2 linked regions of the Sus scrofa genome follow. The protein of the gene in region 1 interacts with the protein of each later gene in a biochemical or structural test. Links are inferred from orthologs where the notes say so. Each region holds a gene or a part of one and is shown on either strand. Other genes may lie near its edges.

Evidence for each region.
Region 2: the proteins of EIF2AK2 (region 1) and PRKRA form a complex in vitro, tested with the Homo sapiens proteins (3 studies listed by BioGRID and IntAct, with this or other methods). The link is inferred for Sus scrofa from reciprocal best matches to the Homo sapiens genes EIF2AK2 and PRKRA.

The regions. Positions count from the first base shown.
Region 1 is NC_010445.4:103,039,452-103,043,859, reverse strand, and holds the start of EIF2AK2 (interferon-induced, double-stranded RNA-activated protein kinase), read right to left. Parts: upstream 2,832-4,408; 5' UTR 2,506-2,831; intron 1-2,505.
Region 2 is NC_010457.5:84,146,522-84,150,172, forward strand, and holds part of PRKRA (interferon-inducible double-stranded RNA-dependent protein kinase activator A), read right to left. Parts: intron 2,400-3,651; coding exon 2,321-2,399; intron 1,292-2,320; coding exon 1,174-1,291; intron 1-1,173. UniProt on the Homo sapiens protein: Activates EIF2AK2/PKR in the absence of double-stranded RNA (dsRNA), leading to phosphorylation of EIF2S1/EFI2-alpha and inhibition of translation and induction of apoptosis.

The DNA.
Region 1 (4,408 bases):
TTAGATATGGGGGGGGGGTTCATCTCAGGCAGAGGAAACCCTAAGGCGGGCACCATGATGGCTTCTGGAGAGATAGCAAAAAGGCCAAGGAGACTGCTGCACAGTGAACAAGGGGAGCAAGTGGGAAGTGAGTCAGAGAGGGAGGCAGGTGCCACAGCACACAGACCATGAATGAACTGTGGATGTTATTCCACTTGTAATGGGAAGCTGAGGGTTCTCAGCACAGGGGTGATGTGATTGGATTTATGTCTTTAATGATCAATCTGATGCTATGCAGAGAACAGAGCATGGGGGCAGTTGTGGAAAAAACAAGCAGAGCATGAGTAGAGGTCAGGAGACTAAGTCGAGGCTGCTGCAGTGGTTTAGGGGAGCAATGCTGGTGGCTGGAAGGGCTTAGATCTGAGCAAAGGCACCATCTTTGCAACACCACTTAGTGTTATAGAGAGAGCTAGGCTGTCAAGCCACATAGATCTGAGATAGGCACCTTTCTTAACCTTTAATTTGTGACCAGAAAAGAGGAATGAAAACACCTGATTCACAGGTTGTTGTGAAGAGTCAATCAGACAAAAAGCATCCAGCAGGGTCTCCCACAGCAATGCCCCTCAGTGAGTGGTGCTCCTGGCCTACAATCCCCAATTCCAAAAAGCACTGAAAACTGAGGTTTACTTTATTTTCATTTGATTTGGTTTCGGTCAGTGTGTAGCCCCCCATCTAGACCTGAACTAACATGAGTTATTTAGAGTCTTTACCACACTTTGTTGTCTGCAGACAACATTTATACATTTCACTGCAGAAATGTTTTATGATAGACTGCTGCTCCACTCTAAGAGCATTAAATTACTTACTAGTTTTTAAAAAATCCATAAGTCCCTGAGTACCAGGACATACCTGACCTAAGGGTTTCAGATAAGGATCTGCAGCTGTGTCATTATTTTTAGGAACCAAAGTGTCATTTAGTTTAGTCACAACCATGAGACCATGCATCCAATTGCAGGAGGCCATAGATCTCAGAACACCAGTTATGGAAGAGTCCTTAGCAATTATTTAAACCAAAGTTCCATGGAATGCCCTAAATCCACAGAACTTTTACCTCTACATAACTGCTGATGTTCAAAATGACAAGCCAGTTTGAATTTAAGCAAAACATAGGTGTAAACCAATAAGGTGCTCAATTGGCCTGTTTGAAATAAGTACTTATGAGTTTGGAAAAAAAGAAACAGCAGGTTTCCTTTCAACTACATCTCATTTGAATATATGTTACCATTTTCCTAAAAGAAAATTCCATCATAATCACTAAAAATGTTATGTGTCCATCTTACTCTTGCCCAAAAGTTACTTTGCCTGTGCCTTGATTCCCTTACGGCAGACTGTGAACACTTACGGGTCAAGCCCCCTCCAGGGTCTGAACACTGCTTGACAAACAACATTCAACTAGTACCTGATGAATTAAATGAATAAACTACACATCCAGTGTTACGGATCTTCAGGTTCAAATACGGAAAGAGAAGAACAAGGGCATAAACTGCTCAAGATTCTAAGTTCCTAAGGGACAGCAGGGAGTCTCTTAACTTCTGATTGGCGGGTCTCATACTCTGGAACTCAAAAGAGAATGTATTAACTACCACTCATTAAATAAAGACATAAGGAATATCTATTATGTACTAGGTTATACTAGTGAACAAAACCCTACTCTTGTGAACTTACTAGTGGAGGCATATGGACAAACCCAATAAAAAGTGTCACAGGATGATAAGTACTATATTGAAAACCAAGGCAGAATAAGGGGGACAGCAAGGGAAGAGTGGGGCTTCTTTCACATGCAGGTTGTTCCTGGAAGGCTGCTCTGATAAAGTGATATTGGAGGAAGTGAGAATAACACGAAGGACTGGTCCACACAGGTATCTGGAAGAAGAACCTTCCAAGAAGACACAGGCAGTGCAAAGGCCTAGAGGCAGCAGATAGTGCTGAGCTGTGCTCCAGGAACATCAAAAAGGCCTGCGTGGTCAAGAATGGAAGGAGCACTAAAAAACACTGTGTGGGATTCTGATGAGATGGGAAGCTACTGGGGAGCAGAAAGGGGTTGTCTTGTTCGGACGTGAAGTCAGGTTCCCGTGGTGTTGAGAGGCGGTGCGGGGGTGGGGGTGGGAATGGAGTTGGAGCTGGGGGGGGGGGGCTAAAGATGGGCTTTTGGGAAACAGTTGCGACAGTCCAGGCAAAAGACTTTTGGTCAGGGATTATTTAGCCAATTTTTTGGGCAATTCAGGCCTCCGTATCTCCCATCTGTTGTCTCTCAAGGATGGGGCTTTTTCGTTTTCCACTGGTTGTCCCTGCCCCCAGCCTGCGTCTGGGCAAGTGATTACTTGCTCTGCTAAAAAGATCTTCGCGGGAGATGAATGGCTTTGGTTCCCACCGCGCTGCATAGTCCCTCCCCAAATTCAGCAAACGCCCCACCTAAGGCCTCGGACAGCGCTCCCAATGCAGCGGCTCAGGGGTCAGGGGTCTTACCAGGGTCCAGTCCCAGGCTGGGGATGCAGGATGGCGAGCGCCCTTGTGGCTCCTGGTTGTCGGCCCCTCGCCACTCACCCGCGCTGCTGCAGTCTGTGAAGCCTGGTGGGATCTGGGCCGCTCACTCTCAGTTTCGTTTTCCCCGCGGACTCCGCCTTCTTCCCCCGCCGCACGGGCCCCTCCCGCACCAGTCAGCACTTGTCCGCGCAGGCTCCGGGATCGCGCGCCACTGGCGCCTGCACCCGGAGTTCCCGCGGGCGGCAGTGCGGAGCCTGCTGGGCACCCGCCGGCCGCTGCTGCGCGGTAGAGCGCGTCCGGGTCCCTGCGGCCTGACCTGGTCTTCTCATGCTGCTTCCGGCCCCCGTGGCGGGATCAGTCCGCCGGGATGTGGGGAGGACCTTGAGGTCTCCGAGGCCCACTGCGTGGCGGGCGCTCCCTGAACTGGGCTCTTCAACGCAACATTTGGGACGGCGTTGCGGGGAAGGATGTCATCAGCTCCATTTTACATTAGAAACTGAGCAAATTAACTGTCCCAGAACAAAGCAGGATTCTATTACTCTTAACCACCAAAGCACCCTGCCTCTTCCTCACATTCACCAGGCTGGGAATGAAGAGGTCTGCTGGCATAATCTCCCTTCAGTCTGTTTCCAGCCATCCATCCATTCATTCAACGATACTTGCCAGCCTTTGTACCAGCCAGTCCATCAGTTAGAGCCACTTGCTCCCCGCGCAACCTCCTGGAGGTTTCGACCAAAGTTCTTACCAGAAATCCCAGATTTGTAAAAAAAAAAAAAAAAAAAAAAAAACCTACTCACCTAATGGACTATGACACCTTCCCAAAGTAATACTGGTGCCTCGACCAAATGACTGAGGAGTGCTGAGGACTTACCTCACAACAGTTCTGCAAGGTAGGTCCATTATTATGCCCATTTAACAGATGAGAAAACAGGCCTGAGGCACAGAGAAGTAACAACTAGTAAGCTGAGGAGCCAGAATTAGAACCAAGAGTCTGTACCTCAGCATCCTAGCTAGGGTGAGTAAGAGAGGTGGTCCCAAGGTGGACTTCAGGTACACATTACCTATTGGCCATTGACTCCAGGAGTCCTTTCCCACTTCTCTTTTCTACCCCCTGTATGACAGGATATCAATGGCTAAACACTGCATTTTCCTTGATTTAAGTTCCCCCAATGTGGCACACTGATGGGAGTTTGGAAGGCAGGTAGGAGGCAGAGCCATCTTTCTGTGCCCTTTGAGGTCGCAAAAAGCTCTAGCTTTAGTGGCTCTTTGAAGGAGTCCACTTACCAGCTTCGTGGGTGTGGGGTGACTGTGACAGCCACAATGGCAGTAGCAATGACAAGTTTTCTGACTTTTTGAAGCCTCTGAACTGTCCAAGAGCTTAAGGAAAGAAAATGACAAGCTCAAGCATGGTCAGAGGCCACAAATTTTTATGGTTGAGGGGAAAATCTTCTTACTTCTTGTAAGCCTCAGGGCTGATAGAGCAAAAATCAGGTGCAGAGTCTAATACTACAGGGTAGCAGAAATACTATATAAATTTTTGTTGTTGTTCTTTTAAAGCTTTATTGAACTGTAGTTGAGTTGTAATGTTGTGATAATTTCTCCTGTACAACAAAGTGATTCAGGTATACATATATGCATAACCATTCTCTATTAGATTCTTTTCCCTTATAGCTTATCACCGAATATTAAGTAGAGTTCCCTGTGCTAACAGCAGGTCCTCATTGACATTCTTTTCCATTACAATGGTGTGCATATGCGGGAGTTCCCATCGTGCGCAGTGGTTAACGAATCCGACTAGGAACCATGAGGTTGCGAGTTCGGTCCCTGCCCTTTGCTCAGTGGGTTAACGATCCGGTGTTGCCGTGAGCTGTTGTGTAGGTTGCAG
Region 2 (3,651 bases), on another chromosome or scaffold:
TGAGGTTCCTACTTCTGGCCCAGTGTTTTCTGCCCTGGCCCACACTGAACCTTGAGGGCAAATGCTTGCCTATTACTTGAAACTAATATCCACCCAAGGTAACATCCATTTCAAGCCACTTTAAAAAGGATAAAAACAGGCTGGAGAAGTTAAAATAGGAATCCTCACTATTAAGGAATCCTCGCTTTATTAAGTGACTTTTTTTCTCATAGTTTATGGCCTATAGAGCACAGAGGTTGCTGTAATTCAAAAGGTTAATTACTATTTTATTTTTATTTCATCGCAATTTTTTTGCCATCAGCCTCTTATGAATCATCTTGTTTTCGGAATTCCCATTGTGGCTCAGCAAGTTAAGAACCTGACTAGATCCCTGGCCTTGCTCAGTGGGTTAGGGATCTGGCATTGCCGTGAGCTGTGGTGTAGGATGCAGCTTCAGATCTGGTGTGGCTGTGGCAGAGGCCAGCAGCTGTAGCTCCCATTCAACCCCTAGCCTGGGAACTGCTATATGCTGCAGGTGCGGCCCTAAAAAGAAAAAAAATATCTACTCCTAGTCTTCCTATCTTCTAGAATAGCTATTGAAACTCCAAGATATTTACTACTGCTTTTTTCTCCAAAATGACTTTTAAGTCACTATCATATCAACAAAGATTGTTTAAATAGTTGATTATTTGTCTTTCCATTACCAACCCATGATTTTAAAAAATAACAAAATAAGAAGGACAAGTATTCTTCTTCTTTTTTTTTTTTTTAGGGCTGCACCTGTGGCATATGGAAGTTCCTAGGGGTCAAATTGGAGCTGCAGCTGCTGGTCTACACCATAGCCACAGCAATGCCAGATCCGAGTTGCGTCTGTAACCTACATCACAGCTCACAGTACCGCCAGATCCTTAACCCACTGAGTGAAGCCAAGGATTGAACTGGCATCCTCATGGATAATAGTCGAGTTCTTAACCTGCTGAGCCACAATGAGAACTCTACGACAAGTATTCTTAAGCCAAATATTTACACTTAGACTCAACTAGAGAAAGTTAGAGACAGTAGACTAGGAGTGTGTCAATTTTTTTTTCTCCAGAGGAATATTTGAAAAATCACAGCATAAATTTCTATGATCATTTGTCATCTCAAAATATTTCAAATGTCTTCAATTGTATGAGGGTAAGAATAAATAAGTACCAGTTTCCATGAATGATTCTAGCCTGCAAATTGTGGTATATTCTCTCTTGTGCGCAGGTCCTCCCTCCTGGGAAAGGGTATATTCTGGAAGTCTCCAGCCATGATGAATAGCCAATTCCTAGAAAATTGAGATGAGGCTTTAGTAGTCATTTTTACTATGTAATGGCTCAATCACATACATATTCTTTCATGATTTTGCTCTCATTTCTATTTACATGTTTGCAAAGAATAATGATATTCGGCAACAAAAAAATGAGAGAAGACCCTCTATTTCCCAGAGATATTCCACATTTTCTATCTGATAGGCCCATAATCCTAAAACTGAAGCAGTTTCCTGCTGTGAAGGATGTTCTCCCATTAGGCTGTAGTGAGCTGACATCAAAGAATTCGAAAGAAAAGTTACTTTCACCCACTTTGGGAACATCCAAGAGAACATCTATAGGACTCGTGGCCATCAGTTCCGAAAGCCTCCCCTTCTAGCTAGAACCTTCCATACACACAGCTGCCTAACTGACTGCATTCGATCAAGAGCAGATGAGCAGACAGCAAACACACACACCCGAACAATGTGAGGAGCAAAGGGGAAGAGAACTACAGAAAAACTCTTAGAGCAGGAAAGAGACCACAAGACTGGTTGGATAACAGGGAGGGGACTTGTCCAACAGAGCACATGGATAATCCGTAAGAAGGATCTTCTGCACACACAAATTCAAAGCTGAATATATTGTTTTGGTAGAATTAGCAAAAAAGCAGATAACTTCCTTTTTCTTGAGTTAGGTAACTCAACTTGGGTTCTTTACAAAGTCTTCTGTCTCAACAGAAGTAGAGAGATTTGTCACAAGAGTGGCAAGAAATATTCTAAAAATATAAAACACTCTACCCATGTGCACTGAGGTCCTGTTGATCTCAAATGAGAATTCCACAAACCAAAGGCAGATACTGTATATGGGAGAAAATCCAAAATGTAAATATTTAAATAGGAAAATAATTTCAAGTTAATGCTTTAATATCTAATGACCATAACTTGGAACACAAAATATTATACCATCTAATCTTAAAAATATGAGTTCCTTTTTGACCCCTGTGATAATATCAACATTTTTTTCAGTAGACAGAAAGTTAAGTATGGAAAAGCTGTGCCACTTACCTGTAATGAACCAATAGGATTAAGCTGGTTCTTTGGTTGCTTGGAAGGGTCAGGCATTAAGGGGTCAGGAACTGCAAAGCTAAACATTTTTATAAAGTATTATAAAACAAAGGAATTTCCCCAGTTATTAAATAAAGGACAAGCATTTTCCATTCAGCTCTCCACACCTTTCCTCTTGTATTTCCTTTGACATGGAATGCCCTTCTTGCCTTCCTCTTTTATGAGAATCTAATCTATCCATCTTCCAAGGTACACTTCAACACTATTTCTTTTCAGAAGCCTGTTCTTTCGCCCCAGTGGAACGTGATTTCTCCCTTCTTTGAACCATTTTGACATTTGGTTTGACCTTTCCTCAACCAAATTATTTTTATCTTATGTTATATAGTCTTAACAACACATGTAATTGTCTATCCCTCACCACGCCTCTCCCTTGGCCAGACTGTGAAATCCTTGATAGTAGGGTCTAAGTATTACTTATCTTTATAAGCCTTGCAGTGCTTTACATATAACAGATGCTCAATGAAAAATATATTTAAGAAAGCATATTCTTGTTCCAACCACACAAAAACGGAAAACTAACAAATAGCCAGGAAATTCAGCCTGGTGATATAAACCATACAGATCATAAATCTAGTTTTTGTTACAGCCCTTAAAAGGGCTGTACCCAAGGCATGTGGAGATTCCCAGGCTGGGGGTCTAATCGGAACTGTAGCTGCCGGCCTACGCCAGAGCCACAGCAACAGCAACGCCAGATCTGAGCCGTGTCTGCGACCTACACCACAGCTCACGGCAACACCGGATCCTTAACTCACCGAGCAAGGCCAGGGATCGAACCCACAACCTGATGGTTCTTAGTTGGATTCGTTTCCTCTGCGCCACGATGGAAACTCCCAAATCTAGCTTTTTAACCCAGATAATTATGGAAGACTTGGTTTAATCTATCATCTGCTCCATGCTAGGACAATCCTCCTAAGATTTATAAGTATCCTGCATAAAATAGATGGCTGGCATGAATCTGATTTCAGTATGTGGAGACTGATTAGGGAAAAGAGAACAACCTCTTCTAAGTAGTGTGAAATTACTAGTTACTCGGGTGATGGACGTCTAACGGGAATAAGCTGTATTCCAGGTGATTACCACCTAGGCAGCTGAAGAGTCATTTCTTCCATGACCAATGGGTTGAGTTACTGTCATTTCCTCAAAGTTCTTTTCCATCTGCCAGAATTTCAAGCTTTACATAGGCTGATGTGATTCACTTACAATACTGTATACTTAAGATACCCAAATAATTGTCATGGAGAAGTGAGAATGTCTCTGTATCAAATCCGGCC